3 linked regions of the Sus scrofa genome follow. The protein of the gene in region 1 interacts with the protein of each later gene in a biochemical or structural test. Links are inferred from orthologs where the notes say so. Each region holds a gene or a part of one and is shown in the gene's direction. Other genes may lie near its edges. The genes, in order: RUNX1, DTX2 and ELF2.

Region 1 (3,648 bases):
CATCCGAACCACACCTTCAATACGATAATGCTTTTTATTTCCCCGGTGTCCTGGTGTTAGAACTCTTTGGCACTAGCTGTGATGCCGGGGCTCTGGGTTCCCTGCAGGGGTAATAATGGCCTTACTTGCTGGTGGGATCACACGTGGGGAGGGTGCGGAATGAACTCTCACCCCCTCCTCTGGCATTCAACTCAGCCCCGCGACTCTGAGGGCTTAGGAAAAAGCTTAGAGTGAAGAATTGTTTTCTCTGAGAGCTATGCCCAAACATTCCTGCTCAAGCAGACAGTCATCAGTTAATCTCTATAAATGACTACGATTTTGGCAGGTGTCAGCTGGTGCAGAAATTGCTCACATGTTGAAACTTTTTTTTTTAAGTGCAGGGCAACGAGAGGGGTTTAAAAAAAAACATTTTTTTTTTTTTCCCTTCGTTGTGCCTGGCCACAGTAGTGGCTTACCTGTAAAATCACTTATTCCTCTTGGTTTCTTGGTGGCACATGGTCCCCAAGCTTGGTGGCTGAGGCAGACACAACTGAAGGCCTCTCTTCAAAGGTTGGCTGGAGACTCCAAAACACCGAATGACATGTGTTCAGAATGATCTGGTACATATCATTCCCCACGATGATCACCCACTGTCCTTGACATGGTGTTCTTCAAAAATGCCACTGGGTGCCCAAGGAATGTGAAATTTAGAAATGGGTACAAGACCTGCCAGCAGCCTCTGCACCATAACTTTGCCAACTGGCATTCTTTCTGAAGTGGTAGAACTTTCCAGAATCATTTTTCCTGCCGCCTTCTCTCCTTGACTCCCCATACCAGGCATTAGGTCGTGGTAGCCATTTAAAAGATTATTATGCTTTGGGTGGCTTTTGAGTTGAAATCGTTTGCTGTTCTGCAAGAAAACTTCAGGAAGTTGAAAGGGAGGAGTCAAAGAAAGCTCCATCCGGAGACAACGAGTGACTCGATGATTGAAATAGAACGTTCTAGAAAAAGATGTTTTCGTACTTCTGAAGGAAAGGGATGACAGGGGTTGTTCCGGGACCTGGCCCCATGGCCTTTCGCCCACAAGACCGGTGCTTAAAATACTCCGCCGGTAAGAGGCCTCTCGCATGTGTGCTGGGCCCTCGTGACTCAGCTGCTTGTGTTCAGACCGAGTGTTGCGGGCTGTGGGGCTGAATCAGAGTCCAGTTTTGCCTTGGTGACACATGAAAAGAGGGAGCGTTGCATTTGAACCACACAAATATTATGCTTAAGTATTTTTCCTCCTTTCGGAGCCAAACAGGTCTTGTTCGTGATAAAAATCACTGCAATATAGTGGGTCCTTTTTCTGGTCTGGAATTTGAGACAGTGTCAGCTGTGCCAAGGGGGCTGGCAGCAGGAAGAAATGGCAAGCCACGGAGATTTGGAACCATAATACAAGTTATAAAATTTAATTTTATAATTGTAGCCATTGGGAGCTGGGCTCAAAAGTCCCTCTCCCACCCCCACCCCACCCCCGGCTGGGGGGCGTGGAGTCAAGGAATCCTCTTTCTCACTGAGGTCTGGGGCCAGGAGGCTGCTCCTCCAATCTTGTTTGGAGGCCACTTGACAATCGGGTGGTTTTGTGAAACCGGTCAATGACTCTTTCTTTGAACCATGGGAGTGAGGCAGGAGCAGAAGGGCAGCCTCTTTGAAAGAGGATTGAATTGGCTGAGCCCCATTATGGCTCCATTAGTACAAGGAGCCTCAGCTCCACTGGGCAGGCCTGAGTCTCTGGTTTAAAGACATTTTGGTGAAGGATTAAGGGAGGAAGCGGGAGCCCCAACCCTTCTCCAAGGAATGACTTCTGCTCTCTGCATCCTGGTGATGGTGATTTTGACCAGAGCAAGGAAATTTACTGTCGATACAGATGCCAAGGGGCCCACCCGCACCTTGGATTCCTGAGGCCCCAGGCTTGTCCAGTGTGCTGGTGGCTCCCTTGGGGCTCCAGTGAGCTCTGCCTGCTGGGAAACTTGGACTGAATGAGTCCAGGGCTACACCACACTTGGGGTGCACTTGGAGAAGTGGGCTTCAGAAAAGAAAGGATGCTGGCGCAAAGCTTGCAAGCAGAGGAGGGGGTGGGTGGCAAGGGGCTGCCCATCCTGGGCACTTAACAGGAAATCTGACCTCCCCGGGCTGTGGGTTTGCAGCTACACCTCATTTCCTGTTGTAAGGGGCACGCCTCTAAGCTCCAGGGCCCACTTTGCTGCCTCTGAAACCTGCCGGTGGTTGGGTGTGGAGTTGGGGCAGCTGTTCCCATGCCACCAAGAGGGCTCCTTTCCTGCCCGCCTCAGCTCAGCCCACAGAGATGCCATAAGCCAATTAATGCCCCTTCTCTCCCTCCCACCATCACCACCGCCACCAAGCCCTGTATGCCCACTGCGTTCCACACAGTGGAGATGGATGCAGGGAGTCGGGGTGGGTGCCAGGCCCAGACCGGCGGAACACCCAGTGGCCAGTGCGACAAAACGGGCCCCAGTCTGCTGTGGGGAAAAATGGCCCCGAATTCCCAACGGGAACAGCTACCTGTGCAAAACTCTCCAGCGGATCCACGTTGGGGGTGAGGGGAGAGGGAGGGGAAAGAGGAGAAAAGCCCGAATTTTAGCAAATCCACAATACATTTTCTGATCTCTTCCCTCCCTCCTTCCCTGCCTCCCTCTCCCTTCCCCACCTCCTCCCCGCAATAGGACATCGTCAGAAACTAGATGATCAGCCCAAGCCCGGGAGCTTGTCCTTTTCCGAGCGGCTCAGTGAACTGGAGCAGCTGCGGCGCACGGCCATGAGGGTCAGCCCACACCACCCAGCCCCCACACCCAACCCTCGGGCCTCCTTGAACCACTCCACTGCCTTTAACCCTCAGCCTCAGAGTCAGATGCAGGGTAAGTACCCGGACGGAGCCCGCTTCCTGCCTCACTCCCCCCACCCCACCCCCGCCACCCCCAGCCCTGGGGCAGAACCCTCCTAGTCCAATCCTGGCTTCTCCTTCATACTCAGGAAGGGTGGTCCCTCAACCAGCAGCCTGGGAGCTGGTTAGCAGCAGAGTCTCGGCTGCCCCAGACCTACTGAGTCAGATCTGCATTGTAAGAAGATCCCCTGATTTAGAGGCACTGCTGCATAGGATACCGAGAGGATACGGACAGATCTGTATCACTCTGCCGATAAGATCTTTAATTTTTTAAGAGTTAGCTTTGGCTATGCTAATTTCTCACCTGCTTGGCTGGAAAACACGTATACACACATTAAGCAAGGTGAAGGCCAGGAGTTTTTAAGTTCTTACCGTCTACAGAATGTTCGTGGGGGTTGTATTTAATACAGTTTTTTTTTTTTTTTTTTTGAGAATATGAAGAAAATAGGAGTTTCTGGATACCATCACATGGAGCGTATTCATTGCAATAAATAAATTTGCAATCAATAAAGAATGCAGGCTATCCACCACCCCCACCCACGATGGGGTTAGCTGGCAGTTGCAAAAACACTGTAAAATACAATAATGGCATAAAACCCACTGTGCCAAATTAGATAATACGCAGGGTTCATTTACACTGTAGAAACTGCTGACGTCAATGATTATTTGCTCTGTGATACCATTTCAAATTTCCGAAATGCAGTCATTTTCTCGGGTCCGTGCAGGAC
Region 2 (4,416 bases), on another chromosome or scaffold:
CAGGCCAGGGGTCGAATCGCAGCTGCGGGTGCCAGCCTACCCCACAGCCACAGCCACAGCCATGACAGATCCTTGACCCACTGAGCAAGGCCAGGGATTGAACCTGTGTCCTCCTGGATACTCGTCTGGTTCACAATCCACTGAGCCACAGTGGGAACCCCTATGTAAGGCTACTTAATTGGAGTCCAAGATTCAAAGGACTTCGAACCTCCAGGAACATATACAAAACATCTGTGTGGGAGTTCCCACAGTGGCTCAGTGGATTACAGACCTGAAATTGTCTCTCCGAGGATGGGGATTAGGTTGCTGGCCTCACTCAGTGGGTTAAGGATCTGGCGTGGCTGCCAGCTGCAGCATAGGTGGCAGATGTGGCTCGGATCCACAGATGTTGCTGTGGCTGTGGCAAAGGCTGCAGCTGCAGCTCTCATTGAACTCCCAGCCTGGAACATCCAAGTGCCGTAGGTACAGCTGTAAAAAGAAGAATAATGTCTGTGTGCATACACACGTGTGAACACAGCTGAGAATTTTTCTGGGAATAGCTTTCTTCAGCTTTGTAAAGAAGGTCTGTGATACTGAAAGATTAATCACCAGCCTGGTTTAGACCTCATCACCTTTGACCTGGACGACAACAACAGCCTCCAAACCGGTCTCCCCACTCCATTCCATATCCTCTACCCGCCACAAGGGTATCATATTTATTTATTTTTTTTACTGCACCTGAGGCATATGGACGTGCCTGGGCCAGAAACTGAATCCAAGCCTCAGCTGTAACCTATGTCACAGCTCTGGCAACACCGGATCCTTAACCCACTGCGCCATAATGGAAACTCCCCACAAGGGTATTCTTTCATTATTTATTTTTGTCTTTTTAGGGCCACATCTGAGGCATATGGATGTTCTCAGGCTAGGGGTCCAATCAGAACCACAGCTGCCAGCCTATGCCACAGCCACAGCAACGTGGGATGCGAGCTGAGTCTGTGACCTACACCACATCTCAGAGCAAAGCTGGATCCTTAACCCACTAAGTGAGGCCAGGGATCAAACCCATGTGTTCATGGATGCTAATCATGTTCGTTAACTGCTGAGCCACGATGGGAACTCCCCCCCCCCTTTTTTTTAAAGGGTATCCTTTTAAAATTCAATGCTTTAAAACAAACTTAGAGTTACCAAAGAGGAAAGGAGGGGGAGGGATAAATTAGGCGTCTACTCATCCTTTGCCTTCGCCAAACAGAACTTTTCACTGCTTCCTGAATGCATAGGTCACTTTCAAATCTTTCATCCTTTGCAAGGGTAGTCCATCTGGCAAACCCTCCTATAGGGGCTTCAAAATCCAATTCAGGTGTCACCTCCTCTGGGATCCGTCCCTGCCCCCAGTAGGTACTCCTCTCTATGCTCTCACTCCTTTATTACATTTATCATACTATATTGTAGTTGTGGGTTTAAGTGGCTGTTTCGCTAACTAGATAGGAAGCTCTTTTGGGAGAGCTACCCCCACAACAGGTGCATATTGTGTTCAGCCCCGCCTCCGCGGCCCCGCTGGAACTACATTTCCCAGAAGGCCCAGCCTCCTGGGCATGCGCACTGGAACGCAAGGAAGCTGCGACGCCGAGTTTCACTCAGGCTGCCTTCTCCTTAGAGTGGGAGCTACAGCCGGAGCCGTGCCCAGGCCGAGCCGGAGCTGCAGCCTGAGTGCGGCGGTGTCTTTCGCCTCCCCTCTCTCCCTCCTCAGCCTCGGTGAGAGGGGCGGGCAGGCCACCTGCTCCTCGACAGGGCTAGGGTCCCGGTGACGCGGGGCAGGAGCCGAACTGGGACCGGAAGGGGGCGGGCGTGGGCGTGAGGGAGGGCTGGGCCGGGCCGGAGACGAGCCCTGGGGTCGGGGTCGGGTCCGGGGGGGATTGTGAGGGCTGGCCTTCGGGTGGAGGCCCCTGAGGCGAGAGCTGTGGGAACTGCGAGCCGCTGGGAGTTTAGGACCGGACCGTGTGGGAGAGTGAACGCCGAGGTGCAAGCCGCAGGGCTGGCAGGGGGAGGGGCGCAGACTCTGGGAGTTTGGGTCCGTCCGGAGGAGTGTAACCCTTCCCACAGGACCTGGAGGACGCGGTGGTGATATTGCCACCCGGTGTGTGGTTAGGGTGTGGGTTCCGCCGGCGTCTGCCTCCTGGTGGACGACTCACGGGAGTCGGAGACTATACTTGAGAGGAGTTTGCCTCCTAACTCTGCTTTCCTGTCGCAAGTAGGGTCCGTCTTCCAGGAAGTGCCTATCTCCTGGGACCCTGGGTCGCTTTTCGGGGGGAGGGCGTAATGTATGCTGAGAAGAGAATTTAGAAGACTTTTTGCTGGAACTACCCTTTCTCAGACAGCTACAGTCCTGCGCGCTGGTTCCTCTTCTCTAAGTGCCAGTAGCAGTGGAAATAGTGTGTGCACCGACGCTTGACCTTAAGAAATTCAGAGTATTTCTGCTGCCAAGCTAGCCCCGCTCCAGCTCTAGAAGGCGGACTTTCTGGTAGCCAGGATCAGGCTTTACTTAAACTATCAGGGTAACTATAATTAGGCTTCAGGGTAACTATAATTAGGCTTCTTGTTCGTTTGCTGTGTGACTTTGGCTAAACTTTTACCTTCTCTGGTGTGTTGATTTCTTGGCTGCCTGCATTGCAGACGGGCTTACAAAGTCCTTTCAGGCCTTTCTGTGGAAGGGCTTAGGAATTTTTTTTTTTTTTTAAATCATCCCCTTGATTGTCGAGTGGGCAGAGGGAGACTACTGTACCTTCTGCTCTGCCCAGGCTGTTGGAAAATAAATCGGATAATTTCCAGTCCCCAGCCACAGCACACAGACCCAACATCTGTGCATTCGTTTTCCCTAACTGCTCAGTTTAAAACCTGATCATTTTCCTTGTTGGCAAAAGTGCCTTGGAATTTCTGTCGCTGAGTCAGCAAGCCTTTCAGATTTGCCCGGTTTTTGTTGTTTGTGTTTTAAATCAAGATGGGAACTCAGACAAGTTATTCCTCCTAAAGATCTGGTATCTCCATCAAGAAGGCACAGGTCGTGCCAGCTCTCCAGAGAGAAAAGGTGAGCGCCCCAAGGACTTCACATTGCTGACTTCCCAATCTGATTTTCATTAGAGAAAGTGGGGACTGGGGAGGGTGGCATTTGAGGTCCCCAGGATGAAAGTGAGCCCTGGGAGTTGATTGTCGATTGCTACCTGTCTCAAATAAATTCAGGTGGCTTCTTGCCAGTGGCGTCTCCTGTTTAACCCGTCTTAGAAGATGGTTTCTGCTTTCAGGCATGCTTTATGGGATGAAGGACACAAGTCACGATTTTTGCATTTGAACTTTGTATGTCTTTTTGTATTTCTTGTGTTGCATGCACCTTTAGCGGGTGCCTCCTTTGTGTCAGGCCCTGTGCTCAGTGCTGGGGGTACAGTGATGAACAAAAGCTGTGTCTTCCGGGAGCTCATTATCTGATGGAAAAGATAAACAAACCATAAGCAGTGACAGGGTGTTGTCAGTGTGATACATGTTGAGGAGTGAATGAGCACCCCCCCCCCACTGTCACTTGCCCAGGAGGGGAGCACCAGAAGGCTTCCAGAAAATGATACTTCCAGACGAGTTGTGAAGAAGAAGTAGCACCGAGGAAGTTGGGGGTGAAGCCCGGCAGAGGTGTAAGCATGTGCAAAATCATAAAGACACCTGGCATGTCTGGGCCACTATAAGTAGCTCAGTGTGACTGGAGCAACAGCGAGTGGGTGTGGAGCAGAGAAGTCTGGAAAGGTAGGCAGATCGCTGAGTGTGGGGGCTTTTGTGGGCCATGCCAAAGCTCAGGGTAACAGAAAGACTATCAGAAGAATAGTCAGACTATTAGAGTAGTCTAACGACATTCTATTTTATTTTATCTTGGCCATGCCCACGGCACACAGAAGTTCCCAGGCCTGGGATTGAACCCAAGCTGTAGCAGTGACAACACTGAATCCTTAGCCGCTAGGCCACCAGGGAACTCCCTGAAGGGCATTTTAAGTGAGCACCCTGGCTGGAAAGTGTGGAATGGATTAGATTGGATCACTGTCTTTGTGACCATTTCCTTACACCATTCCACCTTCTGGCAGAGGGGTGTAGACAGGTCCGTTGCCCTCTGGCTGCCCCTGGTCTCATCAGAGATGGAATGGACACAGCTGCAGAAGACAGAATGCTTGGAAGTTGATAAGAGGGGGTTTTCTTTCAAGGGGGCGCATCATGGCATCCTGGGGGTGTTTAGAAGGGTCTTGAAAATGTGGGTCAGCTAAGGATGGGTGGCCAAGTGAGTTGGGATTCTGGGTAGAGTTGAGGCACAGAGTTGGGGAGACTGGAGGTATATGGGGTAACAGGTCATCCTTGAAGCTCTTTGGGAGGGATGGGAGGGGGTGATGAGGAGGAATGCGCTGGCCA
Region 3 (3,648 bases), on another chromosome or scaffold:
TTTATTCCATCTTTAGCAGGTAGTCTGGTATATCTCATTTTAAATAATTAAAGCAAAAATGAAGTCTCTAGTTAAAAATTAAGTCTAGAAGCCTACCAAGAAATTTAGTTAGAAAAAATCGAGTTATAGTAAACTCATATTCAGGAACTATTTATTCAATTTGGGACAGACTTAGGATACTTTTGTTTTCTTGTCCATCTTTGGTTGTTTTACATTTATACTATCTTGGGTTTTATCTTTCAATTTACATTGAAAACTTTAAGGCTTACATAATAGTAGTAAATATTAGAAAGTTAAACTGTAATAGACAGTTATTCCTGTTCTTATTTTTTTTTATTTTTTGCTATTTATATCTTGCTTTTTAGGGCCACATCTGTGGTATATGGAAGTTCCCAGGCTAGAAATCTAATCAGAGCTGTAGCCTCTGGCCTACACCACAGCCACAGCAACACAGATCCGAGCAGTGTCTCTGACCCTACACTGCAGCTCATGGCAACACCTGATCCTTAAACCACTGAGCAAGGCCAGGTATTGGACCTTCGTCCTCATGGATACTAGTCAGATTCATAACCCATTGATCCACAATAGGAACTACCTATTCCTGTTTTAAAAATTATTTCCATCATCAGTGTCTCCTATATTCAAAGACCTTATGTTTAACACTGGAAAAAAATTTCGTGATAACCTAAACCAATGAAAATGAATCACCTTTCATTAAAATTTCTGTTTAGTGTTATTAAACTTGATGCAACATGTTGTAATATGAAGATTAAAGTTTTTCTGACACATCTGCATTACAAATCCAGCCAGTGTTTCCTCTTCTGTAGAATTACTATGATAATGTCAGCATAGATTTAGTGAACTACCTTATCTGATAAAGAAGACTTCTCTTTCTAAATTCTTTTTTCCTTAAAACCCGAAATAGAATTGTTCATTTTAACCTGGGGATGGGAACTAGGGTGAAGCACTTAAAGATAACCTGAGGATGTTGATGCATCTAATTAATTCAACAGATACAAAAACATTCAATCTCAACTGTGTTCCTTGTGCATATTGTGCAAAAACTTCGTGCAGAATTAATAAAAATGCCCCAGCTACACATTCTGATTTAGTTGAGAGTGATGGAGTTGAAAGATATGTGAGTGTTTGGTGGTGGTGGGGGGTTTTTTTTGTTCTAATTTTTTTGGCCACACCTTTGGCATGTGGAAGTTACTGGGCCAGGAATGGAACCTGTGCCATACCAGTAACACCAAAGTCCCTAACTGCTAGGCCACTGGGGAACTCCACATGTGGTTTAATAGTAAGAGTTTTTAGTCACAAATGCTGATATAATAGGGTTTCAGAGACAGGAATGTAACACTGTAAAGTTGAAGGTTAATCTTTTCAGGTCAAGAGAGATACACTGGGCTAAACTATGGGTTAATAGATTTATTGAATTTTCAGGGAAATTTAGGATGAAAATGAAATGGTAGAAGAAGAGCATCAGCATTTAGATTGAGTAGCAGGGGCCTGATTCGGAAGTCCCCTCCACACTCAAAGTTCTTCTCATGTAGCCTGTAATTTAGATCTAGGTCTGAGGATAGTAAAGGGTTAGTGACCAGGACCCTGAGGTGACCTGGTGGCTTGGTGGTGGCATATATATCTTAATCATCTTCTCAGGACTCTGTTCTTCCTTCAGTTTAAGAACTTCTGCACCTAGAGGTTCTTAAATGCTGCAGCTCGGGTTTGATCCCTGGCTCCATAGCTTCTGCATGCCATGGGCGTGGCCAAAATGGAAAGAAAAACAGCAGCCTGAAAAGCCTACTCTTCTCATGAACACTGCCCACTCCTCTTCCCCAACCTTCCAAAAATAAAAAGTGATGCTTTTTCTTTTGGGACTAAGTTCCCTATTTTACCTACCCAGATTCCTTCCTTTTCTTTAGTGCAAATCTTAGACATCTTCTAAGACTTAATGATGTCTTGCCAAACAACTTTATCTTCACTCCTAAAATCCTAAACATTACTTTCTGTCATTCACTTGGAATATAATTATGCATGGCCTTGTGATATAGCTTATATTGTTTCATACTTTTTTCTTGTATTCTTATTTACTAGACAACACAGTTTGACACTGTACAAATGATTGCTTGATACAGTCAAGTATTTAATGCTACTCCTAGTATATTTGTGCTTTACCAGTAGTAAATTGATTTTTTTATCCAGCATAAGTAAATATTTACTTTTAATTATGTTGATGAGTTTTTAAACAATGTCTATCATTGTTTTCAAAGGAAACACAACCTATTTGTGGGAGTTTCTTTTAGATCTACTTCAAGATAAAAATACTTGTCCCCGGTATATTAAGTGGACTCAGAGAGAAAAAGGCATATTCAAGCTTGTGGATTCAAAGGCTGTCTCTAAGCTTTGGGGAAAACATAAGAACAAGCCAGATATGAACTATGAAACTATGGGACGAGCTTTGAGGTAAGAACACAAAAGAAAGAGTTTTCAAACAAAACTTACTATCCCTTAATATTGTCTATTAACTCTTTCCAGAGAAGCTCTTAAAATCATTTATTATAACTTTTAATTAGAGGGGATTTTCTAGAGGAGATTCTTGGATTTGGAGGCAGATGGGGAAAGGGGTTTGGTCTGGATGTCTAAAATTTCAACACCAGGAATTCCTGTGGTAGCCCAGAGGGTTCAGAACCTGACTAGTATCCGTGAGGATGTGGGTTCCATTCCTGGCCTCATTCAGTGAGTTAAGAATCCAATGTGGCTGTGAGCTGTGGTGTAGGTCACAGACGAGGCTCAGATCTGGTGTTGATCTGGCTGTGGTTTAGGCCAGCAGCTGCAGCTCCAATTCGACCCCTAGCCTGGGAACCTCCATATGCTGTGGGCCCTAAAAAGAAGGAAGAAATAAATTTTCCATTTTTTGTGGAAAATGAGCACTTTTAGGAAAATTAGACCCACATAAAATAGTTACTAAATTGTGAATTTGCTCTTTATTTAGTTCCTGCAAATTTGTTATGATGGATTTATCTTTATAAGAAAATTTCTCTTGCCCTGTCAGTTTGAGGCACCCATGTAACTTTGTGATATACATGGCTTCTTCTAATTAAGGGTGTTTGTAAGTAAACATAGTTTATGAGAGATAGTATTCACATATCCCAGATTCTTCTCTATAGGCATGGCTTAGGTACTTTTACCACATAATAGGAGACTGTTTTTATAACATATGTAAATCAGAATGGACTTGTTGCCAATGTCTGTAAAATGTAGTCATCTCTCAGTATCTGAAGGAGATGGTTCCAAGAACCCCTATGGATAGCAAAATATGAAGTGGGTAGTTTATCTGTAACCCCCATACACTTTTTTTTTTGGCTTTGGCATGCAGCAGCTTGATGTGGGATCTCAGTTCCCAGACCAGGGTTAGAACCCAGGCCATAGTGGTGAAAATAGTGGGTCCTAACCACTAGACTACCAGGGAATTTCCTCCTATATACTTTATCTCTAGATTGCATATAATACCTAATACAGTGTAAGTACTGTGTAAATAGTTGCCATCACATGATAAATTCATGCTTTGCTATTTGGAACTCTCGTGGAATTTTTTTCCCCTGAATATTTTTGATCCACAGTTGGTTAAATTCATAGATAAGGAGTCCA

Evidence for each region.
Region 2: the proteins of RUNX1 (region 1) and DTX2 form a complex in vitro, tested with the Homo sapiens proteins (2 studies listed by BioGRID, with this or other methods). The link is inferred for Sus scrofa from reciprocal best matches to the Homo sapiens genes RUNX1 and DTX2.
Region 3: the proteins of RUNX1 (region 1) and ELF2 form a complex in vitro, tested with the Homo sapiens proteins (2 studies listed by BioGRID and IntAct). The link is inferred for Sus scrofa from reciprocal best matches to the Homo sapiens genes RUNX1 and ELF2.

The regions. Positions count from the first base shown.
Region 1 is NC_010455.5:198,415,140-198,418,787, reverse strand, and holds part of RUNX1 (runt-related transcription factor 1), read left to right. Parts: intron 1-2,702; coding exon 2,703-2,894; intron 2,895-3,648.
Region 2 is NC_010445.4:9,923,019-9,927,434, reverse strand, and holds the start of DTX2 (probable E3 ubiquitin-protein ligase DTX2), read left to right. Parts: upstream 1-1,568; 5' UTR 1,569-1,574; coding exon 1,575-1,734; exon of another isoform or gene 1,735-3,064; intron 3,065-3,558; exon of another isoform or gene 3,559-3,765; intron 3,766-4,416. UniProt on the Homo sapiens protein: Regulator of Notch signaling, a signaling pathway involved in cell-cell communications that regulates a broad spectrum of cell-fate determinations.
Region 3 is NC_010450.4:87,872,208-87,875,855, forward strand, and holds part of ELF2 (ETS-related transcription factor Elf-2), read left to right. Parts: intron 1-2,270; coding exon 2,271-2,463; intron 2,464-3,648. UniProt on the Homo sapiens protein: Isoform 1 transcriptionally activates the LYN and BLK promoters and acts synergistically with RUNX1 to transactivate the BLK promoter. Isoform 2 may function in repression of RUNX1-mediated transactivation.